Linked DNA regions of Callithrix jacchus. The protein of the gene in region 1 purifies or fractionates together with the protein of each later gene. This does not show direct contact. Links are inferred from orthologs where the notes say so. Each region holds a gene or a part of one and is shown in the gene's direction. Other genes may lie near its edges.

What was found.
Region 2: the proteins of SOX2 (region 1) and COP1 purify together in Homo sapiens (affinity purification with western blotting; 3 studies listed by BioGRID). This does not show direct contact. The link is inferred for Callithrix jacchus from reciprocal best matches to the Homo sapiens genes SOX2 and COP1.
Region 3: the proteins of SOX2 (region 1) and HNRNPA3 purify together in Homo sapiens (affinity purification with mass spectrometry; 3 studies listed by BioGRID and IntAct, with this or other methods). This does not show direct contact. The link is inferred for Callithrix jacchus from reciprocal best matches to the Homo sapiens genes SOX2 and HNRNPA3.
Region 4: the proteins of SOX2 (region 1) and KHDRBS1 purify together in Homo sapiens (affinity purification with mass spectrometry; 3 studies listed by BioGRID and IntAct, with this or other methods). This does not show direct contact. The link is inferred for Callithrix jacchus from reciprocal best matches to the Homo sapiens genes SOX2 and KHDRBS1.
Region 5: the proteins of SOX2 (region 1) and SSB purify together in Homo sapiens (affinity purification with mass spectrometry; 3 studies listed by BioGRID and IntAct, with this or other methods). This does not show direct contact. The link is inferred for Callithrix jacchus from reciprocal best matches to the Homo sapiens genes SOX2 and SSB.
Region 6: the proteins of SOX2 (region 1) and ARID1A purify together in Homo sapiens (affinity purification with mass spectrometry; 3 studies listed by BioGRID and IntAct, with this or other methods). This does not show direct contact. The link is inferred for Callithrix jacchus from reciprocal best matches to the Homo sapiens genes SOX2 and ARID1A.
Region 7: the proteins of SOX2 (region 1) and UBR5 purify together in Homo sapiens (affinity purification with western blotting; 3 studies listed by BioGRID and IntAct, with this or other methods). This does not show direct contact. The link is inferred for Callithrix jacchus from reciprocal best matches to the Homo sapiens genes SOX2 and UBR5.

The regions. Positions count from the first base shown.
Region 1 is NC_133516.1:9,953,569-9,957,932, forward strand, and holds SOX2 (transcription factor SOX-2), read left to right. Parts: upstream 1-1,385; 5' UTR 1,386-1,839; coding exon 1,840-2,799; 3' UTR 2,800-3,929; downstream 3,930-4,364. UniProt on the Homo sapiens protein: Transcription factor that forms a trimeric complex with OCT4 on DNA and controls the expression of a number of genes involved in embryonic development such as YES1, FGF4, UTF1 and ZFP206. Binds to the proximal enhancer region of NANOG.
Region 2 is NC_133519.1:26,980,645-26,984,931, forward strand, and holds the start of COP1 (E3 ubiquitin-protein ligase COP1), read left to right. Parts: upstream 1-1,295; 5' UTR 1,296-1,560; coding exon 1,561-1,967; intron 1,968-4,287. UniProt on the Homo sapiens protein: E3 ubiquitin-protein ligase that mediates ubiquitination and subsequent proteasomal degradation of target proteins.
Region 3 is NC_133507.1:52,156,563-52,160,363, reverse strand, and holds part of HNRNPA3 (heterogeneous nuclear ribonucleoprotein A3), read left to right. Parts: coding exon 1-84; intron 85-165; coding exon 166-376; intron 377-679; coding exon 680-769; intron 770-851; coding exon 852-947; intron 948-1,035; coding exon 1,036-1,113; intron 1,114-1,832; coding exon 1,833-1,976; intron 1,977-2,816; coding exon 2,817-2,939; intron 2,940-3,053; coding exon 3,054-3,106; 3' UTR 3,107-3,121; intron 3,122-3,213; exon of another isoform or gene 3,214-3,801. UniProt on the Homo sapiens protein: Plays a role in cytoplasmic trafficking of RNA. Binds to the cis-acting response element, A2RE. May be involved in pre-mRNA splicing.
Region 4 is NC_133508.1:68,626,777-68,631,221, forward strand, and holds the start of KHDRBS1 (KH domain-containing, RNA-binding, signal transduction-associated protein 1), read left to right. Parts: upstream 1-1,603; 5' UTR 1,604-1,736; coding exon 1,737-2,118; intron 2,119-4,445. UniProt on the Homo sapiens protein: Recruited and tyrosine phosphorylated by several receptor systems, for example the T-cell, leptin and insulin receptors. Once phosphorylated, functions as an adapter protein in signal transduction cascades by binding to SH2 and SH3 domain-containing proteins.
Region 5 is NC_133507.1:59,756,100-59,760,699, reverse strand, and holds the start of SSB (lupus La protein), read left to right. Parts: upstream 1-1,759; 5' UTR 1,760-1,999; intron 2,000-4,600. UniProt on the Homo sapiens protein: Binds to the 3' poly(U) terminus of nascent RNA polymerase III transcripts, protecting them from exonuclease digestion and facilitating their folding and maturation.
Region 6 is NC_133508.1:63,387,225-63,391,025, forward strand, and holds part of ARID1A (AT-rich interactive domain-containing protein 1A), read left to right. Parts: intron 1-1,234; coding exon 1,235-1,687; intron 1,688-2,713; coding exon 2,714-2,830; intron 2,831-3,801. UniProt on the Homo sapiens protein: Involved in transcriptional activation and repression of select genes by chromatin remodeling (alteration of DNA-nucleosome topology).
Region 7 is NC_133517.1:94,643,560-94,647,360, forward strand, and holds part of UBR5 (E3 ubiquitin-protein ligase UBR5), read left to right. Parts: intron 1-694; coding exon 695-843; intron 844-1,292; coding exon 1,293-1,384; intron 1,385-2,840; coding exon 2,841-2,987; intron 2,988-3,088; coding exon 3,089-3,207; intron 3,208-3,291; coding exon 3,292-3,418; intron 3,419-3,510; coding exon 3,511-3,640; intron 3,641-3,801. UniProt on the Homo sapiens protein: E3 ubiquitin-protein ligase involved in different protein quality control pathways in the cytoplasm and nucleus. Mainly acts as a ubiquitin chain elongator that extends pre-ubiquitinated substrates.

The DNA.
Region 1 (4,364 bases):
CCTATTGAAATCTTTACGTCGGGACAATGGGAGAGCGGCTAAAATTACCCTCTTGGGTCCTGGGCAGGCAAGATTCCTGAGCCCCTACCCCCGCCCCCATCTCAGCCTCCTCTAACCCGGGCCTCGCCGGGCTCCCCGCGCCCCAGTGCCGGCCGCCTGCTCCCTGCGTGCGCTGCCTGCACCTGTGCCTGGAGAGCTTGGACCCCGCCTCCCAGGCCTGGAGCCCCTCAGCGGCCACCACGGTGGAAACCCACGAGGGAAATGCCAGGGCTGGTTCTGCTGGCGCCCAGGGAACCCTGCGTGGGAGGGAGTTTGTGACTGGGGCCCAAATGCCACCTCCGCACAGTGCCGTGGGATGCCAGGAAGTTGAAGTTACCCTCCCCCATCCTGCACTTTGGAGCGCCCTTCCGTTTGTCTCTCTCTCTTTCCCCAGCCCCCATTTGAAACCCGCACGACTGAAACCCCTCTTTGGGGGAGGCCTGGGGTGGGAATGGGGAACGGGGGGGAGAGCGTAGGAGCATCCCCTTTGCTCCGGTTGACTGGAGACAGGCCAGTGGGAGTTGGGGCTGGGAGTAAGAAGGCGAGCTGCGGTTTCCTGGGCCAGAGCTGAGTGGGACAGAGAGATGGCAGCTTCCCAAGGCCTGCGGGTTCCCAGCTCTGGAGTCGGCCTCGTGGTCCGACCAGGATTGATGTTTAAGAACAGAGCACGTTAGGTGGAAGCAAGGAAGGCTTTGAGGACCGAGGTTCGAGTCTCCTAACTTCTAGTGGAGACCCTGTCTGAAGGGCGTGCGGGAACGCCGGCACCTGCGGGGGAAGAGGGGAGAGGAAGCGCGCGGCGTGGGAGCCGCAGAGGGGCAGGAGCTGGGGGCACTGCGCGAATGGGCGGCGGGACAATGACACACCCAGCCTTGCACTGGCGGTTTCCAGAAACACGAGCTGGACCGTCGCCCCGAGCCACCCACTGAGCCCTGCCCCACCCCCGCACCTTAGCTGCCCCCCGCGTCCCATCCTCACTTCAGCACCCTGCACCAAAAAGTAAATCAGTGTTAAGTTTAAAAAAGAAAAAACCCACGTAGTCTTGGTGCTGTTTACCCACTTCCTTCGAAAAGGCGTGTGGCGTGACCTGTTGCTGCGAGGGGGATACAAAGGTTTCTCAGTGGCTGGCAGGCCGGCCCGGAGCCGCCTCCCTCCCCGCCGCCCCTCCCATCCCCTCCCCTCCCCCTCTCCCCTCCCCCGCCCCCGCCCCCGCCCCCGCGCCGGCGGCCCGCGAGGCCCCGCCCCCTTTCATGCAAAACCCGGCGGCGAGGCCGGGCCCGAGTGGAGGAGCCGCCGCGCGCTGATTGGTCGCGGGAAACCCATTTATTCCCTGACAGCCCCCGTCACATGGACGGTTGTCTATTAACTTGTTCAAAAAAGTATCAGGAGTTGTCAAGGCAGAGAAGAGAGTGTTTGCAAAAGGGGGAAAGTAGTTTGCTGCCTCTTTAAGACGGGGACGGAGAGAAAGAAGAGGAGAAAGAAAGGAGAGAAGTTTGAGCCCCGGGCTTAAGCCTTTCCAAAAAATAACCATAACAATCCTCGGCGGCGGCGGCTCCGGCCGGAGGAGGAGGGAACGCGCGGTTTTTTTTTTTTTTTTTTTTGATCCTGATTCCAGCCTCTGCCTCTCTCGCTTTTTTGCCCCCAAATTGTTCCTCGCCTGATTCTCCTTGCGGAGTCCCGCGCTCCCGGCACCCCCGCCCGCCTCCCCTCCTCCGCCCCCCCGCCCGCGGGCCCCCCAAAGTCCCGGCCGGGCCGAGGAGGGTCGGCGGCCGCCGGCGGGCCGGGCCCGCGCACAGCGCCCGCATGTACAACATGATGGAGACGGAGCTGAAGCCGCCGGGCCCGCAGCAGACTTCGGGGGGCGGCGGCGGCAACCCCACCGCGGCGGCGGCGGCGGCGGGTGGCAACCAGAAGAACAGCCCCGACCGCGTCAAGCGGCCCATGAACGCCTTCATGGTGTGGTCCCGCGGGCAGCGGCGCAAGATGGCCCAGGAGAACCCCAAGATGCACAACTCGGAGATCAGCAAGCGCCTGGGCGCCGAGTGGAAGCTGCTGTCCGAGACGGAGAAGCGGCCGTTCATCGACGAGGCCAAGCGGCTGCGCGCGCTGCACATGAAGGAGCACCCGGATTACAAGTACCGGCCCCGGCGGAAAACCAAGACGCTCATGAAGAAGGATAAGTACACGCTGCCCGGCGGGCTGCTGGCGCCCGGCGGCAACGGCATGGCCGGCGGGGTCGGGGTGGGCGCCGGCCTGGGCGCGGGCGTGAACCAGCGCATGGACAGCTACGCGCACATGAACGGCTGGAGCAACGGCAGCTACAGCATGATGCAGGAGCAGCTGGGCTACCCGCAGCACCCGGGCCTCAACGCGCACGGCGCGGCGCAGATGCAGCCCATGCACCGCTACGACGTGAGCGCGCTGCAGTACAACTCCATGACCAGCTCGCAGACCTACATGAACGGCTCGCCCACCTACAGCATGTCCTACTCGCAGCAGGGCACGCCCGGCATGGCGCTGGGCTCCATGGGCTCGGTGGTCAAGTCGGAGGCGAGCTCCAGCCCGCCGGTGGTGACCTCTTCCTCGCACTCCAGGGCGCCCTGCCAGGCCGGGGACCTCCGGGACATGATCAGCATGTACCTCCCCGGCGCGGAGGTGCCGGAGCCCGCCGCGCCCAGCAGACTGCACATGTCCCAGCACTACCAGAGCGGCCCGGTGCCCGGCACGGCCATCAACGGCACACTGCCGCTCTCGCACATGTGAGGGCCGGACCGCGAACTGGACGGGGGAGGCATTCTCCGACAAGAGCGAGGGGAATCAGTGGGGGAGGGGTGCAGAGAGGAGAGTCGGAAACTGCGTGGAGAAAGCCCGGTATGCTCGAAAAGAAAAAGGAAAAAAAAGAAGAGTCTCATCACCCACAGCAAATGACAGCTGCGAAAGAGAACACCGATCCCATCCACACTCACTCAAAAACCGCGATGCCGACAAGAAAACTTTTATGAGAGAGATCCTGGACTTCTTTTTGGGGACTTATTTTTGTACAGAGAAAACCAGGGGGGAGGGGTGGGGAGGGCGGGGGAATGGACCTTGTATAGATCTGGAGGAAAGAAAGCTACGAAAAACTTTTAAAAAGTTCTAGTGGTACGGGAGGAGCTTTGCAGGAAGTTTGCAAAAGTCTTTACCAATAATATTTAGAGCTAGTCTCCAAGCGACGAAAAAAATGTTTTAATATTTGCAAGCAACTTTTGTACAGTATTTATCGAGATAAACATGGCAATCAAAATGTCCATTGTTTATAAGCTGAGAATTTGCCAATATTTTTCAAGGAGAGGCTTCTTGTTGAATTTTGATTCTGCAGCTGAAATTTAGGACAGTTGCAAACGTGGAGAGAAGAAAACTATTAAAATTTGGACATTTGAATTAAAAATTGTACAAAAGGAAAAAAATTAGAATAAGTACTGGCAAACCATCTCTGTGGTCTTGTTTAAAAGGGCAAAAGTTTTAGATTGTACTAAATTTTATAACTTACTATTAAAAGCAAAAATGGCCATGCAGGTTGACATCGTTGGTAATTTATAATAGCTTTTGTTCAATCCCAACTTTCCATTTTGTTCAGATAAAAAAGAAACATGAAATTACTGTGTTTGAAATATTTTCTTATGGTTTGTAATATTTCTGTAAATTTATTGTGATATTTTAAGGTTTTCCCCCTTTATTTTCCGTAGCTGTATTTTAAAAAGATTCGGCTCTGTATTATTTGAATCAGTCTGCCGAGAATCCATGTATATATTTGAACTAATACCATCCTTATAACAGGTACATTTTCAACTTAAGTTTTTACTCCATTATGCACAGTTTGAGATAAATAAATTTTTGAAATATGGACACTGAAATTATTCTTGAGTCTTTCATTTATTTGGTTAACACTGTGATTATACATAACTTCTCGGGGAATTATCTTACTGTGCTCAGCCGACAAAGCAAAAGACCAAAAATCCTCGGTATTACTAGTCCAGCTTCGTGTGCTAATGTTAACTGCGAAAAGGAAACGGCTGGATGAATAATAAGTACTGGAAAAATTGAAAATTTTGTCATTTCTAAAATAGAAACTAGAGACATATATTGTAAATCCGCCCCCTCCTTTTCTAAGCAGCATGAATAAGCATGATGGGGACTTAAACTGAAAACTGATTTATGCCACTTGTTGCCAGAAAGGATCCAATTCTGAAATTTTTCATGTAGTTTAGCAGATGGGGTATTGAGCCAAATCAGAACCAGGTTGGCTGGTTTTGTTTTCATTTTCTTCACAGCACAATGGCCCTTTGAAA
Region 2 (4,287 bases), on another chromosome or scaffold:
TCATGAGAATTTTCACAATACTTTATTCCCAAATAAATATCTAAGAATCACAGAATGATTGAATTGAGAATGATTAAATCACACAGTTTAGTTGTTTCTGACTTCCACCCCTTAGAATGCGGCAAATAATTTTTTTTTTTTCTTTTTTTTTGTGAGACAGGGTCTCTGTCCCACAGGCTGGAGTGCAGTGGTGTGATCCCGGCTCCCTATAGTCTCAACCTTCCCCGCTCAAGCAATCCTCCCATGTCAGCCTCCCGAGTAGCTGGGACTAGAGGCCTGCTGCCACCATGCCCAGCTAATTTTTTGTACTTTTTACAGAGACGAGTTCTCACTGTGTTGCCCAGGTTGGTCTCCAACTCCTAGGCTCAGATGAATCCACCACCCTCCGCCTCTTAAAGTGCTGGGATTACAGACATGAGCCACCGTGCCCACCTATAATCAAATTTCAATATTCTAAAAAAGCCTACCAGAAATAGCATATTTTCGGGTGGTATTAAATGCTAGGTTTCCTTGTTTCGTGCTAGAATTATATCAGACTGAGTAAAATCTGTTTTCCCATTATTGTTATGTTCAATGTGGCAAACAGCTTTTCAAAATACAGGAGTGAAGTCGTGGTCGAACTAGTAAAATTGGTAACACCTGCTACAATGTTTGCAATTTGCAGAAAACTTCATTGACTTCATCTTAACTTATTCCTCAAAAAGCTGTGGAATCACCTTCAGTAGAGGAGGAGGCGTTGGCTCAATGCAGTGCTGTTTGCAACCGCTCGAAACTTCTGGGTTCTTTCCGTGTGTTTCCTGCTTACAGCATCTTCATTCCGCGATTCGGAAGCACCTGCCTACTCCTCAGGAGACAGACACAGCTCCTTCCAGTTCGCGAACGCGGTGCGTTCGTACGCCTGCGTGATCCGGCCGCTCTGCGCCTGCGCGGATATTCTCCGCTTGGGGCGGATACCCTGGCTAACCCGTGAGCTTCTACGCTCGGCGCGCGCGTGCGCAGCCACTTTTTGAGGGTTTCTACCCCTACATCAGCGTCTTTGAAACCACTCCGTCACCTCTATCATTCATTCTACTTTCCTCAGCCCTTTCACTGCGTTAAGACGGCCTGCCCTCTGGCACGTAACGAAAGAAAACGGCTTGGGACGGAGAGACTCCCTTTGCCCGGGAGCCCCGTCCCCGAGGGCGCGCCGTGGGTGTCTTAGCGCAGCCCGGCTGCGTCCACAGTTGTATACCCCGCCGCGCCCGCCCCTTCCGCCGCTCGCGCGCGCGCACGGTCGGCCACGGCGCGCCGGGGTTGGCTGCGGCGGGGACCGCGGCGGCGGCGGCGGCCTGGACAGCTGTTGTGCCTTCTACTCCCCTTTTTTAGTTTCCTCCGCCCCCTCCCGTCGGACGCCGTGGTGTGGCTGCCTTAAAAAAACGCAACTTTATTGTTCCTCAGCCCCACCTCCCGGCGCGGCGGGCGTCCTTAAGATGCACTGGGGCTGAGGGGAGGGGAGTCGGCGGAGGGTCGAGGTCGCGGTCCCTCTCCTCCGAGCGCCCGGCCGGAGGGGAGGGAGTCACGATGTCTGGTAGCCGCCAGGCCGGGTCGGGCTCCGCTGGGACAAGCCCCGGCTCCTCGGCGGCCTCCTCGGTGACTTCCGCCTCCTCGTCCTTATCCTCTTCCCCGTCGCCGCCTTCCGTGGCGGCTTCGGCGGCGGCGCCGGTGTCGGGTGGGGCGGCCCAGGCCGCCGGCTCGGGCGGCCTCGGGGGCCCGGTGCGGCCTGTGTTGGTGGCGCCCGCCGTGTCGGGCAGCGGCGGCGGGGCGGTGTCCACGGGCCTGTCCCGGCACAGCTGCGCGGCCAGGCCCAGTGCCGGCGTAGGAGGCAGCAGCTCCAGCCTAGGCAGCGGCAGCAGGAAGCGACCTCTGCTCGCCCCCCTCTGCAACGGGCTCATCAACTCCTACGAGGACAAAAGCAACGACTTCGTATGGTGGGTTTGAAGAGCATTGCCTTCTTGTCCTTAAATTATGAGTTTCTGCCGCCTAGGCTCGGGGGCGGGGGGTCCGGTGTGGGGATGGCTTGTTGGAGGGCTTGGGATACTGGTGCTGTGGTGGTGTCTGTAGAGGGATTTGAGCGTTTGTTTGCATTCAAGCTCCTGGTTGGTGGGGTGTAGGAATGTTGGAGTGTCCACGCAGGGTGGGGATAATAAAGAGGCAGGTAAGTGTTGCTGAGGAGGAAGTGAAGAGAGTTGAGGGAATAGAAGAGGGTGGAAGGTCAAGTAAATGGTTTTGGATAACAAAGTTGGGCAAAGACGTTGGGTCTTAAAAATTTTCGACTCTGTGATGAATTGAGCACCCAGTCAATCAGCAGTACTTAGATGAATTAAATTTGTCAGTGGAGAGGACTAAGCTTCCTGGAATGCAGAGGATGGAGTTGGTCAAAATTTGTTTAAGTTTGATAGATGATGCTGTAAACATAAGTATGGATGTCTTATACATTTTTTTAATACTAAGTACCCATCGTATGTATGTGTAAATATCTCTCTTCTTCCATTTCTGAGGATGGGCCACTTAGGAATCTGCTGTTGAGACCTCTGTAGTCAAAGTCTGTTAACAGATTTTTCACTTCTCCGCTAAGTGTCTTGAAAAGAGAGAACCACATTTGTTAAATAACATCCCCGTGTCAGATGTAATTGTAATTACTGGATGACAGTATACTGAAACTTCTGACTTGAGAAATGCTAGGTATCGACATTTTGTCATCATAGTTGGCATCTTGAATGATAGAGTAGTATTTAGTCATGACATTTGGGATAGAGGGGTTAGTCATTACGTGAAAGGTCGGGTCGATTGTCTTGCTTGAGAGTTCTGGAATTATTGAGTTTTAGATGTTGGTCGGATTATGAGAAGTAATTGCTGTTAGCTGGTTAAGAACTGGTAGTGTTTTGTGCTTTTTCTCTTGAGGAAATTGTTGAGCAAATATTAGTCATGTAGGAAGTTGGCTGCTTGCACAGTCATAATGAGGAAAGTTGATTTAGATCAGGGTTGAAGATGGTCTGAATTGGTGTTATTAAATATGATAGGGCTAGAAGTTGGAACTGTTAGGAAAGTTATTGATTAGACTTAACAGTTTCTAGTTCCTCCACAAAAATAATGTCTTTATTCACCTTTCTGCTTTTTTGTACATTATTCTGGATTTAGAATTAATATTTTTCATTGAACATTTGGGCCATAATGTGATTGTTATTTATAAATAATCAGTTTATGGTTGGGTCTGAGAGTCGATAGTGAGAGTGGCTAATAAGCCTAATAAAACAAAGTAGGATGTGCAGAATTTAGTTGTCTTTTTAGCTGCTATTTGCATTTTAATTTTTAGTATTCTTAACGAACACAAACATGTTAGCCTCCATGTAAGTATACAAAGATAGTGTGAAAGATATGAGAAATAAGGGAATCAATCATTGCCGTTCAAAAGAGACTTGTATGCCATTCATTGTGGGCCAGGCACCATAAAGAACTTCAGTGCACTGTAGGCTATGCAATAGGGAATTGGAAATTCTTACTTTTTTTTTTTAAAGGGTAAGATTATTACAATTTGTATTTGAGACAGAGTCTTGCTTTTGCTCTGTCACCCAGGCTGGAGTGCAGTGGCACAATCTTGGCTCACTGGAACCCCCGCCTCCTGGGTTCAAGTGATTCTCCAGCCTCAGTCTCCCCAGTAGTAGTTGGGATTACAGGTGCCTGCCAGCACATCGGGCTAATTTTTTGAATTTTTAGAGGAGACGGGGATTCACCATGTTGGCCAGGCTGGTCTTGAACTCCTGACTTAAGGTGATCCGCCTGCCTTGGCCTCCCAAAGTGCTGGGATTACACGTGTGAGCCACCGCAGCCCTGAGTATTTCACTTTCTAAGAATCTCGTTAATTACTTATTTTTCTGGTGAGGTTTAATATTCAGAAGAATTAATAAGAGTCTGTTTTAAAACTCAAGCCAGGTTTGAATTTGGCCAGGCTCTTGTGTAGGATGATATGGATTAGGCAAGGTCCAAGGAATCCGACCCCCCCCCACTCCCCCCTTCCCCCGCCCTCATTTGGCCCTGGGTCTTGTCTTGTATGCTCCAAAGTCAAACTGTGAACCAATTTAAATTATTCTATGCTTTTATATTTAAATGATGCCCAAGTTGGAATAATGATAATTTCTTACTCATTTGTGGGACATTTTAAAGGTATGTTTTTGATTCACATTTTATTTTATCTTTAGAACAATTCTGTGATGTTATATATGACTTACTTTTAATACAATACGAATTATT
Region 3 (3,801 bases), on another chromosome or scaffold:
GAAGAGGTGGATGCAGCAATGTGTGCTCGACCACACAAGGTTGATGGGCGTGTAGTGGAACCAAAGAGAGCTGTTTCTAGAGAGGTATTTTAATAATATGTTGTAAAATATGTGAAATTGTTGTGAAAGTTTATGTCTTGACTTAATACATGACTTGATTTGTAGGATTCTGTAAAGCCTGGTGCCCATCTAACAGTGAAGAAAATTTTTGTTGGTGGTATTAAAGAAGATACGGAAGAGTATAATTTGAGAGACTACTTTGAAAAGTATGGCAAGATTGAAACCATAGAAGTTATGGAAGACAGGCAGAGTGGAAAAAAGAGAGGATTTGCTTTTGTAACTTTCGATGATCATGATACAGTTGATAAAATTGTTGGTAAGTAGCAATTTATGGGAACTTAAATGAGAAAAAAGTGGTTTCTCTGTTTTGAACTAAATTTGCCAAATTGCTTGTAATTTTCTGTTGCATGTAACAGCCTTTATAGTGTATGGTCAATAACTCTGTAATCAGTATCCAGGTAAAGGAATAAACATTAACATCTCAGAATGCTCCTTCATTCCCAGAGTCACTACCTGATTATGTCTTAATGGGTTACATAATGACAGAGGGTATCATATATATGCGCTTTTCCAAACACAAAATAACTTTTTGTTTTGTTTGATTAAAAAAAAAATGTAGTTCAGAAATACCACACTATTAATGGGCATAATTGTGAAGTGAAAAAGGCCCTTTCTAAACAAGAGATGCAGTCTGCTGGATCACAGAGAGGTGAGTAGTATCATACACATGTACACAAAAGATTTTAGTGGTGGCTGTAAGATTCTTAAAATCTCCCTTGCCTATGTTAAAGGTCGTGGAGGTGGATCTGGCAATTTTATGGGTCGCGGAGGAAACTTTGGAGGTGGTGGAGGTAATTTTGGCCGTGGTGGAAACTTTGGTGGAAGAGGTAGGATGTTTATCTTCTAAGTACATATGTACCTAACGTTTTGGTAAGTTAAATATATGATTTTAATTCATATCTTGTTTTTCCTCAGGAGGTTATGGTGGTGGAGGTGGTGGCAGCAGAGGTAGTTATGGAGGAGGTGATGGTGGATATAATGGATTTGGTGATGGTAGGTGGTTTATTTTAATAACTTTCTTTACCTTATGGAAAATTAAGTATTCTACCTTTCTAATTTTAATTAAAACTTGAATGACTTAATGGTTAAGACGTATTTCCAAACTAATGCCATAGAAGAGTAGAGACTCTTTTTCCCCTGGAGATTTAACATTAACTGGTCTTTTTCAGAGAGTACTAGGAGTTGAGCTAGAATTGAAGTCTGGGGCTGTATTTTTCTTAGTGCAGATTGATAAAATGAAAACTGAAGCATTTATTTTCATTCTTACTAGCTCTAGATACTTGCTATTCTATTATTTTTTGGTATTACCAGGTTTCAGAGTGTTAACTCATTGGCTTATTTGCCAGTGGCTTAAATGTAATATAAAACCAGAATTGAGTAATGCTAGCTATTCAGGAGGCTGGAGCAGAAGGATCACTTGAGGTGAGGATTTTGAGACCAGTCTGAGCAACATCAGGAGACCATGTTGCTAGAAAAAATAGGGGAATTTGGTGGCACATGCCCATAGTATAGCTACTCGGGCGGCTGACGTGGGAGAGTGGCATGAGCCCAGGAGTTCAAGGCTGCATTGTTGTGGTCATGCCACTATACTCGAGACTGGGCAACAGACCAAGATCTGGTTTCTTAAACATACAATCACCAGAATTGAGTAACTTCACTCTTTACACATTTATGTTTTTGTGTGCTCTTATTTTTTGTTGTTTTTTTTTTAGGTGGCAACTATGGCGGTGGTCCTGGTTATAGTAGTAGAGGGGGTTATGGTGGTGGTGGACCAGGATATGGAAACCAAGGTGGTGGATATGGTGGCGGTGGTGGAGGATATGATGGTTACAACGAAGGAGGAAATTTTGGTGGTGGTAAGCATTCACTTTTTTCATTTAAATGTGAACTATTCAGTGTTGCTAACAGTTCCCATGACATATATTTGACAAGTGTTAAAAGTTAGCAGTTGGTAAAATTGTGTGTTCTGTAATATTAGAAAATAATAAAATGGTGGGTAATTCAAATTTTCTTGACTTTGCTGATTGTTTACTAAAATACACTCAACTCTTAGTTGAGAAGTTAAAAGTGGTCATTTGCCAGTATGTAATAATACATGTAAAAGATAGGGAGTTTATATATTGCCAGAATTTTACCTTGACTCTTAGGTACTTTTAAACTGAACTTTTAAGTACTTTTAAATGGACAAATGGGAGTAAATTGTTTGAATACTGAGACAAGTTGAAGTGAGCAGGTTGCCATCTAGGTGTAAGAGAAAAAGTACTTTGTGTCAATACGTCACAGGTATGTTGCAGGCTTTAATGTAGGTCATTACTCCAGGATACTGTTAAGATCCTTACGAGTGTCCTGTTTTGTTGGACCTAATTAACATGTCAGTGACAGATGAGCGAAGGTTTAACAAGTTAGAATGCCTTCACATTGTTTTAAATGTTATACTGCAGCAGCATCATAGTGAGTGGAACACTGACAATTTCAATGGTGTTAATGGTAGAAAGAACATGTGCCTAGAGAATACCATCTAATACAAACAAAATGTTGATGGTCTTTCAATATGCTGACATCAGTTATTCCAAGTGGTGCTACCAAAGTGATGTGTGTAAGCATGCTACCATAATTGTGAAACAATAATAGTTACATCAAAAGGGGAAAATGATTATTGTGTGGGTAAACCACACATAAACCCTTTCTGATTTCAGGTAACTATGGTGGTGGTGGGAACTATAATGATTTTGGAAATTATAGTGGACAACAGCAATCAAATTATGGACCCATGAAAGGGGGCAGTTTTGGTGGAAGAAGCTCGGGCAGTCCCTATGGTGGTAAGTACTTCTTAAATCATTCTTTAAGAGTCTTTAATTTAAAAAAAATGCATACTTCTTTTAAGATATTATGTATATTTTTAGTGGTTATGGATCTATTATATATATTTTTAGGTGGTTATGGATCTGGTGGTGGAAGTGGTGGATATGGTAGCAGAAGGTTCTAAAAGCAGCAGAAAAGGGTAGGTATCTTTAAATTTTTGTCATGATGATAAAGAATATGTGGAACTGTTCACTGAGTGTAATAATTTTTTTATCCTGTATTATTCAACAGGCTACAGTTCTTAGCAGGAGAGAGAGCGAGGAGTTGTCAGGAAAGCTGCAGGTTACTTTGAGACAGTCGTCCCAAATGCATTAGAGGAACTGTAAAAATCTGCCACAGAAGGAGCGATGATCCATAGTCAGAAAAGTTACTGCAGCTTAAACAGGAAACCCTTCTTGTTCAGGACTGTCATAGCCACAGTTTGCAAAAAGTGCAGCTATTGATTAATGCAATGTAGTGTCAATTAGATGTACATTCCTGAGGTCTTTTATCTGTTGTAGCTTTGTCTTTTTCTTTTTCTTTTCATTACATCAGGTATATTGCCCTGTAAATTGTGGTAGTGGTACCAGGAATAAAAAATTAAGGAATTTTTAACTTTTCAATATTTGTGTAGTTCAGTTTTTCTACATTTTAGTACAGAAACTTTAACAAAATGCAGTTTTGAAGGTGTTTCCTTGTGAGTTAACAAGTAAAGAAGATCATTGTTAATTACTATTTTGTATGAATTTTGCTAAAGTTAACTGTAAAGAAACACCTGCTGACTTGCAGTTTAAGGGGAATCTATTCTCCCCATTTCCAAACCATAATATGAATGGGCAC
Region 4 (4,445 bases), on another chromosome or scaffold:
ACATCCAAAAATCAATAGTTTCCAGGTACTCAGAAGACAACTTCCAAATAAACTTTTTTTTTTTTTTTTTTTTGAGATGAAGTCGCGCAGGCTCACTGCAACCTCTGCCTGCGGGTTCAAGCAATTCTCCTGCTCAGCCTCCTAAGTAGCTGGGCTACAGGCGTGAGCCACTACGCCCGGCCTGAAACTTTTTAACTGTAGAGATGAAGTCTCATTATATTGTCCAAGCTGGCCTAGAACTGCTATCCTCAAGTAATCCTCCCACCTAGGCCTCCCAAAGTGCTGGGATTACAGGCATGAGCCAATGCACCCGTCCCCTAAGACTTTTGGAAAAGTGTGGGCTCATTAGGAGAAATGATCCAAAAGGAAAAGGGATGGGAGTCTCGAGTGCTTTAAATGGGAGAAGAAAAAAAATCTGTGGAGGGAAGGAAAAATTAAGGCACTAGGCTTTTGATGGTTTATGGGACAAGTAGGAACCTAAGGCTCCACTTGCATATAGCACTCTAGGATGTGGAGAACGCCGTTGAAGATTGTCCACTATGTATGTACCTTGGCCTTGAGAGTAGTGGCAAGGGTCTCTCTAAGCCAGTCTGGAATGGTAGAAGGAGCCATCCTAATGATGCAACCAACGTCGATTAAGGATCTGGTCTCTATCCCACTTTTTGACGGAAAAAACACTTAACTGGCAAGAATGACGGCTAAACAAAACGTTAAGTCACAGAAAGCAGTAAAATATGTAAAAAGAGCTAAAATGCTGCTTCTTTTAAGATTTCCCTGACCAGCAATGGCAACCGTTTTAGAACCGACTGCAATATATGTAATACTGGAAATATATATAACACTAGCAATGACTTCTCGTGTTCCCTGCTGTCTGGGGCCCTTTTCTTTGCTAGACTTCAGGTCTCTGATCCGAACCCTCCCTCTTAGGTCAAGTCCTCCAATTGCTTTTAGTGTTTCCACCAAGCCGTCCTTCTTCAATTTCTCCCTCCAGGTTTCCCTTCCCCATCTCCCCTGCTATTGCTGCGTCAGACTCTCCCTTAGTCTTTCTTTCTCCTTGTGCAGTCTCTGTCTCTCCCCCACCTCTCTTCCTCCCTAGGCAGCCTCAGTTCTCTCTCCCTTCCCTTTCTGGGTCTCCCACCGCAGTCTCCTTTTAGTTTCTCACTTCAGTGACCGCCCCCAAGCTACTCGCCTTACCACCCCACCCCATTGCGCACTAAAATGTCCGTGCCTTTCGGCCGTTGGAGGGCGTGGCCCGGCGAGTAACAGGTCTCCCGCCCCACACTCGGCGGGCCCGCGCGTAGACAAAGACATTCCACAGCCCCCGCCCCCTCCGCCCACTGAACCAGAAGGGGAAGGACCCACGTGTCCCGCTAGCGCCGAGTCACGTGGAAAAGGAAACGAACTGAGCCGGCAGCCTCCCGCGCATGCGCGCCAAATTCTGGCCTGGCGGGCGCGGAGGGAAAGCAGGAGTCGGGAGGCCACTTCTTCGTACGCCGCGGTGGTGCGCAGGCGCCGTGGCTGGACTGGGGACTTTGTTCTCCGCGGAGAAACCCAAGGGCGGTGCCGGTGACTGGCTGCGCACGCGCGCCGCCTCATTTCCGGTGCTCTCTCTCGCTGGGTCGCTAGGGTCGGCTTCGGTCGCTACCGCTCCCGCTCTCCCACCCCCGCCAACCGCCGCCCGGGCCTCCGCCGCTACCGCGTCGCTTTCTCACTCCTTCGATCGCACATCCTCCCCGATGCAGCGCCGGGACGACCCCGCCGCACGCATGAGCCGGTCCTCGGGCCGCAGCGGCTCCATGGACCCTTCAGGTGCCCACCCCTCGGTGCGTCAGACGCCGTCTCGGCAGCCGCCGCTGCCTCACCGGTCCCGGGGAGGCGGAGGGGGATCCCGCGGAGGTGCCCGCGCCTCGCCCGCCACGCAGCCGCCACCGCTGCTGCCGCCTTCGGCCACGGGTCCCGACGCGACAGTGGGCGGGCCAGCTCCGACCCCGCTGCTGCCCCCCTCAGCCACAGCCTCGGTCAAGATGGAGCCGGAGAACAAGTACCTGCCCGAACTCATGGCGGAGAAGGACTCACTCGACCCGTCCTTCACTCACGCCATGCAGCTGCTGACGGCAGGTAAGGGGGCCTCCCGGGTCCCTCTGGGTCGCCCGGCCATCCCAAGGCATGAGTGGCCCTGGCTTTGTTCCTCTCGCCTTCCGCCCCCTCGGGACCGAGGAAGTCGGGAGCTCCGGTCTCATCTTCGTTTTTGGGACCCTGGAGTCCACATTCCCACCTCAGTCTGGAGTGCGAGGGAGAATTTCTAGGCTGCAGTGCAGGCCCGAAGGCGACTTTGCGATCTCCTAGCGCTAACATCTTGATGGATAGTGCTGAGCTCCCCGCCCCTTTCCCGACTCTTCACTCCTCCCTCCTCCTGCGGCTGCCCCGCGCTCCGAGCGCGCAGATTCTTCCAGAAATGAACCTGTATTTCCCCCTTTCCCCGAGGGGGAAGCCTTTTTGATCGCGAGTGGCAATGAGCCCCTCGACCGAGGTGTGGGAGGTGAAGACAGCCAGAACGGGGGAGGGGCCGTGGGAGGAAAGGCCGAGGTGAGGTGGGGTGAGGCTGGAATGCCCTGTCCAGCGCGTCGCTGTCTCTGGGGCCGAGCCGGACTTAGCGGTAACCGCAGCTTAAGTTGCTGGGAGGAAGGAGCGATTTATGGGGATCGGAGCTTGAGGTTTTCGAATCAGATTTCCTACTAAGGCTGATAAAATAAGAATTGCTATACTGAGCTTGAAGGTTGTCTTTAATTTTACACCGTGGGTTCACCATTGAAGAAGGAGTGAAATAACCCTAGAGACGTTGAAATGGGACGATAGGGACTGCCGCGTAGTTCTCATGACGTTTCCCAACGAGATGGACAGAAATTGAGAGAAGTTGCATGATGCTTGTACTGAAAGTCTTGGTCTTTTTGTTGCTTTGTTTTACATATTTTATTCAGTAGTGAAAAAGAAATGAGTCTTTGTTCTGTAGATTAGCGCTCTTTTTCTGATCAGCATTGGCCAATCACCTAGTCGCCCTGATTTTTCCCTAAAGCTGTCTGACCTCCACTTCTAGTTAAAACATTATTTTAATAAATATTTCTTATGATACTTAAATTTTAGTATGCAAGTAAAAATTCCCATCATTCAACACTGAATGAGTGGTTGGACTCTATGGCAAGGTTAATATAATGAACAGTTCGTTATGAAAATATTACCTCCCTCCCTTTGTTCTGTCTCCCAACACTGTAAGTTAAGGGCTCTTTACCAATGTGGTGTTCATCTTTTATGCTTTTTTAAGATAACTGTCAAAAACTATTGACCCTTAAAAGTTCCCTGTAATTTTCAGTCTCCCCTCACTGCTTAACTAAGAGAGCGCTCTTTATTTTTAACTTCTGTTTTCTGGATGAATTTTTTTTTTTTTTCTTTAAACCAAACTGAAATTGGTAAGTGTGTTTGAGGTAATGTTGGTTCACTGAAAGAATGAAATCGGGATGTATGGATTCTTTGTGGCATTGATAAGTGTTAATGTATATTGAGCCTGGCTTTTTATTTTTTCTGAGACAGAGTCTCACTGTCACCCAGGCTGGAATGTAGTGGCGCTATCTTACCTCACTGCAGCCTCCACCTTTCGGGTTCAAGCGATTCTTCTGCCTCAGCCTCCTGAGTAGCTGGGATTACAGGCGAGTGCCACCATGCCTGACTGATTTTTGTATTTTTAGTAGAGATGGGGTTTCACCTCTTGCTCACTCTGGTTTCGAACTCCTGACCTCAGATGATCCGCCCACTTTGGCCTCCCAAAGTTCTGGGATTACAGGCGTAAGACACCACGCCCTGCCAGAGCCTGGCTTTTAAGGTACTTCTGAATTATCTTGCAAAGGAATTGCAGCGAAGTCACAACCCACTGTGAAGAAGTGAGACTTTGAGAAGATAGAATAGTAATATTTAAGTTCTAGTAAGAACAAATGGAAGGGCCAGGCGCCGGTAGCTCACTTGGGGAGGCTGAGGAGGGTGGATCACTTGAGGTCAGAAGTTTGAGACCAACCTGACCACCATGGTGAAACCCCATCTCTATTAAAAATTAAAAATACAAAATGAGCCGGGCATGGTGACACACACCTGTAATCCCAGCTACTTGGGAGGCTGAGGCAAGAGAATCACTTGAACCCGGGAAATGGAGGTTGCAGTGAGCCCACGTCTGACCATTGCACACCACCTGGGCAACAAAAGTGAAACCCTATCTCAAAAAAATAAAATAAAATAAAATAAAAACATGGAAGAAAAATATAGCTATATTTAATGTTTGGTGTCTGAGCACTTTACATTAAATTTTTTTTTTGAGACAGAGTTTTGCTCTTGTTACCCAGGCTGGAGTGCAATGGCACGATCTCGGCTCACCACAAACTCCGCCTCCTGGGTTCAGGCGA
Region 5 (4,600 bases), on another chromosome or scaffold:
TGATTAGAATGTATGCCAGGTGAAACAAAGGGATCACTGTCACAGAAGTTGCTTCGAATTCCAGTTTTCAGGAAAGCAATATAAAGTGGACTACCTGCCACAAAAAATATACTCAGCGAGCGCCAAGCAAGTTTTGGGAACTCCCCAAAACCAGTGAAGACTTTAGCTAAAAGTAGAATTTCAGAGCACTGTAATATGGTTAGAAACCAAACCCCAAAATTAAACATGAAGATCAGTGTCTGTACTGAACAGCCCCATCTGGTGGACACAGGATTTGTGTTATCGACTGACTTGAACATTACCAAGAATTCACCATTCCTGGCATTTGCAGGTGTTAATTTCAGAGAGTTGGATACTCTACTCTCTGTACCAAATACAGTAGAGCAAACCCAGCTTTGAGGCAAGGACCCCTTGAAGTAGACATGCAGTGCTTTTGTTATGGTTCCCGGAGCAAGTCTTTCTCATCCCTGCCACCTCCTGGCCTCCTTGTAAACCTGAACTGCCAGGTACCTCACTTTTCTTCACAGCCAGATAGTTTTTAATGTTAAATTGGTGGAGGAAATGGGTGAGCCACTGCTTGCTCTTACGTCCGGGTGCTCGGTCTTCAGGTAGTATAGCAGCCACATGGCTTTGGCCCGCAGGAGTAACTGGCCCATCCCTAGTGTCCCCCAAGATGTGTCCTCCAAAGAAGCCAGTCAGGAAGAGGGGATGCCCGCTGTGGTTGTAGATGGGGAAGGTGATGCTGCTTAGGTCAAGGGTTTTGTCCACCTGCCAGGCATGCAGGAGTGGGTTGGGGGACACACAGAGCATCTGGTACTTCAGGGACAACTGCTCGTACTGGATCTGGCTTCCGTTTCCCTGTGGGACCTGCAGATCCTGCATCACGCTGTGTAATTTACTGACGTCAGCAAAGAAGTCTGGTTCCAGCTATGAGCTGCTGTGGGAGACCACCAGAATGGAGGCGAAATTGGCCTTGGGGCTCCTCCTGGAGAAGTGGTAGGAGTCGGTGGTGGTGAAATGGCCCTGTAAGAAGCCCATTCAGCCTTGGCCGGGCTGTCAGCGGCTGTACACGGCTCCTCCAGGTCTTCTTGTCCTTGGGCAGGTAGAGGAAGCCGGAGCCCAGCGCAGCCGGCAGCATCATGGGCGCCAAAGGAGGATCATGGGTGCGGGCCCACCTGCCACCGCAGCCACTGGTGGGTGCGGGACAGCTGGCCCTTCAGGCGGTTGGCGTGGCAGCGGCGCGGGTCGACGGCGACCGACTCAGGGTTTCGCGCCAGCAGGGATGCGTCCTTCCCCTCCCACGCCGGGGTGGCTGCGGCCCCTGCTCCAGCAACGGTTGCCGCTCCCAGGGCTGCCATGACGCCCAGCCCCGTCTCGATTCGGTCCCTGTCCCACACCCGGAGCTCCACTGGGCTGGACGCAGACCTCGAACAGCGCTGTCTGGGCTCCGCCCGGCTCCGGTTTCCCTTCCGATTTGGACCGACTCCGCTCGGACTCCCGGCTCGCCTCAGGCCAGTTGTCCAGTTACTCTTCCTTGGCGCCGACTCCCGCTCCCGCTTCGCCCCAGGCTCTGGTCCGGCAGCCCCGATACCTTAGAGACCAGAAGCTCATTTCCAGGAAGCACAGGCTGGACATCAGGTGAAAAAGCAGCTGTGGGGCGCAAATCTCCACCCCAACCGACGGTTTCCTGGAGACGTTCTAACGGAGTCTGCTAGAGCTCCGGCCACGCGCCCGGAAGCGGAAGAGGCGTTGGGAGCACGTGGTTGGCCTGGTAGCCCAACGAATCTGAAATTTGTTTGAGGCGTGCCTGGGCTGTCAGGGGTTCAGCAAACACAAGGAACGCTTCTTCAAGGCCATCAAACGCGTGCCTCTCCTACGGAACTCACAATTCATTGGGAGAATTTGGGTGTTTCTCCCACACACAAATGGCACAGAAATACCACGTGTCCTGACTGACAGATTTTTACCTTTCTTGGGGTTCACCCAGTAGCAGTTTCAGGTAAGGCTTTTGTGAGACTGATACACTTATCTTAGTTATTATTTTTATTCTCTGTCCACAAATGTAACATGTGCATACATTCTCCTTGTGAAAGAAGTAAATGTATATTGAGAAAAGTGGGGGAAAATTCTAAACTTTTTTATCCCATTCCTCTTAAAGGAAGTGTTAAAAAGTGGGTCTACATCCTTGCAAACCTTTTCTATGCAATAAATGCATATCAAAGATATAGCAAATATACCTTTTTCATAAATGTTATTGCACTATTCATGTTATGCAGATTATATTTTTCATTTACAGTGGCAGAGGATTTGAATATGACAGTGCATATATATTTATCTTATTTTTTTAACTGCTCTATACTTTTTCAGTGTACAGATGAAACATAATTTCACCAGAATCTTATTGATGGACCCATAGATGGTTTAGTCATTTACTTTTATAAATAGTGCTCAGTGAATGAATGTCTTTCATTTAACCTATACACAGGAACCATATCTGTGAGATAATTTTTTAGAGTGGATTCACTAGGCCAAAGCGTAGGTTCTTTTAAATTTTTGAGCTACTGAGAAAGTAAAATACAAACAAGTTATATTAATTTATACCCTCATAAGCAATATATGAATTTGCCATAGCCTACCCCACAGTGTCAGCAAAGTGTTTGGTTTGTGCCACTGGTATCTTACTTTGATTTAATTTTGAATTTATTGCTTAGTATCTTTATCTTTCCTTTTTGAGTGAACTGTCATATCTTTTGTGTGTCAATTCAATTCAGAAGTTTTCCTTTTGGATTGTTGAAATTTTCTTTTTGGTTTATAAGAACCATTTATATTTTAAAGAAATGACCACTTTTCTTGTGATTAGAGTTACAAGCTTCTCCCCATTTTGCTTATTGGCATGGCTTATTTTTGTAGTTCAATTAATGAGTACCTTTATGAGTTTCAAGTTTTACTAGAAAATTTAAACCAAAGTTGTGACCAATAGAAATTATCATTACTGGTGGGTATGGTGGCTCATGCCTGTAATCCCAGCACTTTGAGACCAGGCTGGGCAACATAATGAGATCCCAACCTTAAAAAAAAAATTTATTAGGCCAGGTGTGGTGGCTCACGCCTGTAATCCCAGCCTTTTGGGAGGCCAACCCAGGTAGATCACCTGAGTTTGAGACTAGACTGGCCAATGGGGAAATCCTGTCTCTACTAAAAATACAAAAATTCAAAAATTATCTGGGAATGATGGTTCATGCCTATAATCCCAGCTACTGGGGAAGCTGAGACAGGAGACTCACTGGAACCCAGGAGGCAGAGGTTGCAGTGAGCTGAGATCGGGCCACTGCACTTTAGCCTGGGGCATGTCTGTAATCCCAGCTACTGGGGAGGCTGAGGCAGGAGAATCACTGGAACCCAGGAGGCAGAGGTTGCAGTGAGCTGAGATCACACCACTGCACTCCAGCCTGGGCAACAGAGCAAGACTCTGCCTCAAATTAAAAAAAGAAAATTAAACATTAGCCAGGTGTAATGGTGCACAGCTGTAGTCCTAGCTACTCAGGAGGCTGAGATGGGAGGTTTGTGTGAACTCAGGAGGTGTAGGCTGCAGTGAGCTATGATTGTGCCACTGCCCTACATCCGGGGAAACAGAGCAAGACCTTGTCTCAAGAAAAAAAAAGGAAAGAAAACAGAAATTATCATTACTGCCTTGGCCGGATATAACTGCAGTCTTCAAGTATATTTTGTAGCTTTGTATTCCCTATTTGAGTTTTTCATCTTGCATACCTGTAATATTTTGAAAAGTAGTTCTAACTGGGCATCTTTCCATAGTGACGTCCGCCTTCTATGAAGCTCTGTGCTTTTATTCCATATATTATTAGTAAATAAGTTCATGGCCATTACAGTGGATGAGGTGAAACTTTGAAATTTGTTTTCAGTGAGGAAGCTCAAAGTTTGACAAGAAAACAACTGCAAAAATATAACAAAACACCTGTGGAAGTAGCACAGCATCCTGGCTCATAAAATCAGGATCGGAAACCATCAGGCTTCTTTCAGTTTCTTTTCCCTTTCTTGTCGATAAAAACCAAACATTTAGGCCAGGCACAGTGGCTCATGCCTGTTTTCCCAGCACTGTGGTAGGCCAAAATGGATGGTTTGCTTGAGGCCAGGATTTCAAGACCAGCCTGGGCAACAGGGCAAAACCCTGACTCTGTAAAAAATACAGAACATTAGCTGGGCATAGTGGCATGTGCCTGTAGTTCCAGATACTTGGGAGGCTGAGGTGGGAGGATCATCTGAGCCCAGGAGTTGAGGCTAGAATGAGCTGAGATCACACCACTGCACTGCAGCCTGGGCAGCAGAGCAATACCCTATCTCAACAGCAGCAGCAGCAGCAACAACAACAAAACAACCCCAAACATTGAGAATAATTTGAGATGAGGGAAAGGAGAGCCCCTTGCCCAGTTCTCCAGTGGCCTAGTGTCCTTATCTTGTACAGCAGCTTTACTTCCAGTCTTGGGACTACTTAGCAGTCAGTTCTTTGACTGGAGAACTGCCTTGCACTTTACCAGGCTTTCCTTATGAGCAGATAGTTACAGGTTAGTCTACAAGACATCAC
Region 6 (3,801 bases), on another chromosome or scaffold:
AGTCTATGAGCTATAGAATCAGAGTGTATCCTTGGCTTCCAAGCCTCTTGACAGGAACGTAGACCATTTGGCTCAGTTAATTACAGTGTGCTACTAACAAAGCCACTGCTGTGGGTACCATCCCATGTGTGCTCCAAGGAAAGCTACTCCCTGGTCACAGGTACATATCTCTTTTTCTCTTGATCTGACTGGCCAGCTTATACCTAGTGAGTGGTGAACTCTGAATGAGGTGGGATGAAAGGCAGTGGCTGAACACCTAGGCACTTCTACTACTAAGAAAACTGTTCATACCATGTGCCCTGTGGATAGAAGAGGCCCTTTATGTTTCTGAAGGCCTTTAGCATATCTGCCATCTGGTTCAAAATGAATGTTACTGGGGGTAGAAGAAAAGGGGAAGATTGAACAGAAAAGATGTTAACCTCATTGTTACAAATGTTAAGATTTCCCCTTATCCATCTCCTTTTGTCGGACCATTCACATCATTATCTCTTTATTGCCATTCTTTGTGTTGACAAAGTTTTCTGCCATTCATATTTGAATGTTACTCACACTGAAAATAGTGAGGGAGAGAATATAAAATCAAATTTTACTTCTAAGACTTTAAAGTATGCCCTTTAATATAGAAAATTGTCTCTTCGTTTAATAGAGGAGAGATGAGGTAATATTTCGTTTGTTTTTTTTGCCTGCTTACTAAATATATCCCCAGTGCCTAAAATAGTGCCTGGTACAAGTAATTGAGTAGGCTCTCAAATATTTTTTTGAATGAAGACTAAATGAAAGAGAGAACCGAAGTAGCTTAGTGATTTATACAGTCTGAATTACTAAACCTTAGGTTTTCAGCTGGCTGAACCAGGCTGCTGTTGACTATTCATTGTGGTTAGGTTACAGATTCCTAACACTTATAAAAACAGTCTAGGCTGTGACAAAAAGAGTAGGCTCATTTGTAGAAACAGCTGCTCTTAAACTCATGTTAGTTGCCCAGATGGTAAATAGTGTAAATTTTCAGTGGATGAATGTGTAGTCCACTTGTAAACAAACCACCTAAAAACCCAGCTTGGCCATCTTCCTTGGCTCAGTTTAGGCAGGGATGAGAGAAAAACCTTGGGCCTCCTAAGTATAGGGCCTGGCATGCTTACTTTCTATACTCATCCTTAGCATGTAGCTCTGACAAAACACTTCATGTTTCCTCATTCAGGCGAGACAGTACTAAAAGTATTTTTTTCCTTTCCTACAGATTCCTCCTTATGGACAACAAGGCCCCAGTGGGTATGGTCAACAGGGCCAGACTCCATATTACAACCAGCAAAGTCCTCACCCTCAGCAGCAGCAGCCACCCTACTCCCAGCAACCACCATCCCAGACCCCTCATGGCCAACCTTCATATCAGCAGCAGCCGCAGTCTCAGCCACCACAGCTCCAGCCCTCTCAGCCTCCATATTCCCAGCAGCCATCCCAGCCTCCACATCAGCAGTCCCCGACTCCATACCCCTCCCAGCAGTCCACGACACAGCAGCACCCCCAGAGCCAGCCCCCCTACTCACAGCCACAGGCTCAGTCTCCCTACCAGCAGCAGCAACCTCAGCAGCCAGCACCCTCGTCGCTCTCCCAGCAGGCTGCATATCCTCAGCCCCAGTCTCAGCAGTCCCAGCAAACTGCCTATTCCCAGCAGCGCTTCCCTCCGCCACAGGTAAGATATCGCTGCCTCCTGCCCTTCCCTGTGTGTGACCATGAGAACTTTGCCATACAAAGTGGTTCTCTAACTTGCACTTAAAGACCAATTAAACTCTGAGTAAACATGCTAACTGGATTGATTGAACTAATAAAGGCATAACCTTCTTAACTACATAAAGACCTATAGCTCTTCTTAATGATGAAGAAATAGGGCAATGGAAAGTTTCATAGATGGATAAGAAATTAAAGATAATGAGACTGGTTTTTTTTGTTGTTTTTTGTTAAATCAGTATCAGAACTTGAGCATCCAAGTGAGTTGTCTTTTTTCAAAACAGTCACTTTGAGAGGCAGTACCGTACATTCAGTCCATTTGCCATTCCATTCTGCTATCACTCAAAATACTTGGATCCCTTCCTTTGGAATTGCCACCAGAACTGATATCACATTCTTTAGCATATTCTCAGTGGTGGCAAATCTTATTTTTTGAGGGTGGATTTGATTTGGGGAAATACCAAAAATTCATTTGGAGTTATGTCTGGTGAACAAGACATAGGTAATAGAGCCTAAAATAGCATTCAGGGCTTTATTCTTTATAGAACCCAAAGAAGAAAAATGACTGAGTGATGACAGGTCCACTAAAAAGTTTATGTATTGGTGGCATTGTTGGAATAAGTATCTCAAGGTGATGTCTTTGAAGGAAGCAGTACTCATTTTAATGCAGAGGTTCTAGCATGATTTTTATGGTTTCATTGGTCTCATTCCTTGATAGATTTAACTTGAAGTTGACCAGACATTAGCATTTAACCCCGAAAAATAGCCCTCTGTAGGTAGCAATAAATGGGTGACAGTTCTATCAGAAAGAGTCCACTATTGATCATCTTTAGAGCCATGACTTGGATTTTTCTGGTCTTCAGATACTATTATTTGCAATTGGGCTTTCACTCACACTCATGAGAAACAGTCCAATAAGCTTTCACCATGAAGTAAGCTTGCCTGGTTTATCAATACCAGGCCATCACAGCTTTTGTTTTTCTTGTTGTAGGAGCTATCTCAAGATTCATTTGGGTCTCAGGCATCCTCAGCCCCCTCGATGACCTCCAGTAAGGGAGGGCAAGAAGATATGAACCTGAGCCTTCAGTCAAGACCCTCCAGCTTGCCTGTGAGTATTTCTGCACCTTCTGAAAGGTGATGGGGCAGAGAGGAAACAAAAACAAACTAGTTTCTGGTTGGAAGTTTTGGTAATTTTGATCTAAATGAATAAGTTGTTTCTTGAATTCAGGAAGCTTAAAGGTTGATTTGTAGATCTCTATTCTGTCTACCTGCCCAGGGAATAGGCTTGTGTTCTGTTTAGTTTGTTTTTTTAAATCTTGGGCTTTTAGACATGGACCCACATGAGGGGCAGAGAAGATGGAGATACTAGAAGCACTGTCTGCTCTATATCAAAGTTGAGAAAAGTATCAGTCTCTTGACTTTACTCTTAAGGGCTTAATTTTTAGGTTTTTGGCTTAATGTTTTAGCCACAAGGTAGGATCCTGGGGCAATTCAGCATGCATTGTCACATGGCTGGAGTAAAAGCAGTTTTTCTGATGGTGGTTTTTGCGTGAATAGGTGTTTTTTGTTTTCGAAGTATAGTACTTGGTGCCCAGGTGCTTAATTATGGAATTAGGTACTTATTTATGGAGTGGACTGACCATATCCTGAGAAAGGCAGTATAGTCTAGTGATTAAGCTCCTGGCTCTAGATACTGCCACTAACTGTTTCATGGGGGTGATGGTGAACATTAAATAGGTTAATAGAGAGCACACACGAGTACTGGCACATTGTAGGCACTCTGTAATTGTCAGCCTTTGTATTCATCGCCTCAGAGGGCATTAGGACTGTGCTTCATATCTGAAAGGCAGTTAACACCAACTAGGTGGTTCTAGGAACCTTTACTGTTAGTCTTAGCTCTGTGGGCAAGTTACTCAGCCTCTGAAAGTTAATCTGCTGGGCACAGAAATAAAATAGGATACTCTGAAATCTCTAGTCATCTAGTAAGTTGGTGGATAGCAAACTCACCATGACAAATCCTGCTTCACTTAGGAAATGGAAATTCAGCCACATACCCAGATAAGAATCTTTTGGAATTTT
Region 7 (3,801 bases), on another chromosome or scaffold:
TCCCAGCTACTCAGGAGGCTGAGGCAAGAGAATCACTTGAAAGCAGGAGGCAGAGGTTGCGGGAAAAAAAAAATAGCTAATATAAATTTTTTGATTTAAAAATAAATATTCCATAATATTTATTATGTAAATATTTATTATGTAAACAGTGTAAAATCTTTGGAAAATAAAGGTGGATTACTGATAGAACTTCTTGGTACTTAATTGGTGTTAAGTAATATCATTTTAAAGAATAATAGATGTCTTGTTGTTACTTATGACTTAGAATTCCTGCTAAATAGAAAGCATTAAAGATTTTTAGTTCTTACTATCCAGCCTTTGAAAGATTAAAGTAGTTATCTTTTTAAAACACTGATAGTTTATGATATGACCTGTAATTTGCTAACTAGAGCCAGGACTTGAATCTTAACTGCCCGAAACAGAACTAAGGATTCAGGTGGCTGATGCATAGTGTGTTTGTATTGTCATCATATGCGGGCATGATATTTTTATGCTTTACTTTATATTGTTCCAGAATTGGTTAAATTTATTTGCATGCTGTCTCTGTATAACACTTTTTAAAACTATGTATAATTTCTGATTTTATATATATATAGTGTATACACTTAAAGCCTTTCCATTTGAAGATAATGGATGGCTAATTAAAATTAAGTCCTTTCCTGAGAGATGAACTGCTGTGTTCTTACTTTTTTAGCTGAAGTATCCTCAAGTGAAAAAGAGGAAGATGTATTCATGGGAATGGTTTGCCCATCAGGTACCAACCCTGATGACTCTCCTTTATATGTCTTATGTTGTAATGACACTTGCAGTTTTACGTGGACTGGAGCAGAGCATATTAACCAGGTAAGTTATTTTTACATTTTTCGGTATTAATCATATCTTTATGTCTTTTTTCCCTATGACTATCACTAGACTTTCAGTTTTCAGCTTTGGAATTGTTAGGTCTGGTATAAAGAAAGTTGATTTAATTCCTAAGTAAATGAGGCAGAAGAGCTGATTGCTCAGTTAAATATGGCATATCATGAAAATTTTCACTGGGTAGTATCTGATCGACAAATTTTGATATAGATATTATAACTGTAAAGCCTTTTTGGGGATGGTGTATTTTTTTCTGTTTACATACAGTTATAAACTGTGTATTTGTTGTAGTTCTTTATAACGCCTAGTTTTCCAAAGCACATAATTTTGTTTGTTGAGATTGAGTTGTTTCAGAAAATACCAGAAATAATTAATGATGATGAGATATATGCATACTTTTAATTATTCCTTTAAAAGTACACTCTTAATTTTAGGATATTTTTGAGTGTCGAACTTGTGGCTTGCTGGAATCACTTTGTTGTTGTACAGAATGTGCAAGGGTTTGTCATAAAGGTCATGATTGCAAGTGAGTACAATTCTAGTTTTCTTTAGTTTCATACTATGAACTGTTTAGATTTATATTGCTTTGTGGAAATCTATACTAAGCTATGTTTTAATTCAGAAAGCATGAGATCACATTTCCCTTGTTTAAGTCAGTTTGTGTGTATATGTGATTCTTGATTTCAAGTATACTTTGAAATGTTTGATTTCTTTGCTAGTTCTAATGTAGCCCTCCTTAAATAAAAGTAAGTGATTATACATCGTACCTAGGATCAGATTAGTCTTTTGAGAAATAGATCTACCAAATGTTCCTGAGTGTATTATGCAGCAAATTCTCAGTCCCCCTCTAGTAGGGTATACTAGAAGAAAATTGCCATAGGCCTTGAGGGAGTCAAGGTGAGTGTTTGAACTGTGTCTTAGTTACACTGAATGCAATAATCTTTCATTCAGCAACAGTTACCACAGCTAGTTCTGTTGGTTTTCACAAACCTAAGAAGCAACGAAATACCCTAGCATTAACATCTGGGATGTTTTAGGATTATGGATAGGGACATCAGTATAAATGGCTGCAAATGTTATAATTAATAGAGAATTGGACTGTAAAAACCATCTACCATGCCATTAAGTAATTGTATAGGACAAGTGAAAAATTTTAATGGACATTGCACTGCTTATTTATAATTTTTGTTAAGAGAATTCTGGTTGGTATTTTTGTCTTCCTTATTTTAAGCATCTAAAAGTATAATAATTGTTTATTATTGATTTTTTGCCAAGTGTACTAGATGCCAGGGTGGTCATGAATAGTCCTGACAGTGTTCATAGTCCGATGGGAGACCACAAGCAAGAAATACCTGCCAGTAGGTTTACAGGGCTCATTAGATGCATACAGGAGGACCACTTGAACGGCATTTGAGTTCATGAAGAGATTGCAAAAGTGGCTATACCTGAGTCTTTTTTTTTTTCCTTTTTCTTTTGAGACGGAGTTTCGCTCTTGTTACCCAGGCTGGAGTGCAATGGCGAGATCTCGGCTCACGGCAACCTCCGCCTCCTGGGTTCAGGCAATTCTCCTGCCTCAGCCTCCCCAGTAGCTGGGATTACAGGCACGCGCCACCACGCCCAGCTAATTTTTTGTATTTTTAGTAGAGACGGGGTTTCACCATGTTGACCAGGATGGTCTCGATCTCTCGTGACCCACCCGCCTCGGCCTCCCAAAGTGCTGGGATTACAGGTGTGAGCCACCGTGCCCGGCCTATACCTGAGTCTTAAAGTACCTCTTCTCATAGGAATGAGAAGTTGCTTTGTAGACGCCATTACCACTGAGTGATCCTTTTTGTTACATAAGCTTTGACAGTTATACTTTGCATTTAGAAATTAACAAGGGCTCTCTGTAGTTTCAGTGATTTATGCCTTCATAATGTTAACATAAACCATTGTATATTTTAAAAATTCAGTTTTTGTACTTGTGTATGAATTCTCTGTAGACTCAAACGGACGTCACCAACAGCCTACTGTGATTGTTGGGAGAAATGTAAATGTAAAACTCTTATTGCTGGACAGAAATCTGCTCGTCTTGATCTACTTTATCGCCTGCTCACTGCTACTAATCTGGTCACTCTGCCAAACAGCAGGCAAGTAGGATTTTTAGGACAATTTGCAATAAGTTAAAAAAGTGCATCACACCAGAGTAGCTTTTCAGCCTCCCTCCTCACAGCAGTGTTCTGTTTTGCAGGGGAGAGCACCTCTTGCTATTCTTAGTACAGACAGTCGCAAGGCAGACAGTGGAGCATTGCCAGTACAGACCACCTCGCATCAGGGAAGATCGTAATAGAAAAACAGCCAGTCCTGAAGGTGAGTAAATTAGACATTTATGAAACTTGTGGGAAGCAATATGTTTTATTTTTGTTTTGCTCACTTACTTCTTTTTCATTTTAGATTCAGATATGCCTGATCATGATTTAGAGCCTCCAAGATTTGCCCAGCTTGCATTGGAGCGTGTTCTACAGGACTGGAATGCCTTGAAATCTATGATTATGTTTGGGTCCCAGGAGAATAAAGACCCGTATGTATTCATTAAATCCTTTTCAGATTTATGTATTTCCTAGGTGAGTGTAGACTTTTTACCGTTCATTCTGTCTTTCCTTCCTCCTCAAGTCTTAGTGCCAGCAGTAGAATAGGCCATCTTTTGCCAGAAGAGCAAGTATACCTCAATCAGCAAAGTGGCACAATTCGGCTGGACTGTTTCACTCATTGCCTTATAGTTAAGTGTACAGCAGATATTTTGGTAAGTTCTTTGAATGTGTATTACAAGTACATGAAAAGTGTGTTTTTCAAGTACTCTTCTTTGCTGTGAAAATAGAAAAGAATTTAAACCTTAAGTCCCAGTGCTAATGAGGTTATGGTAATAACACACTCAGATAGGAATGGAGTGGCATTGCATTTCTT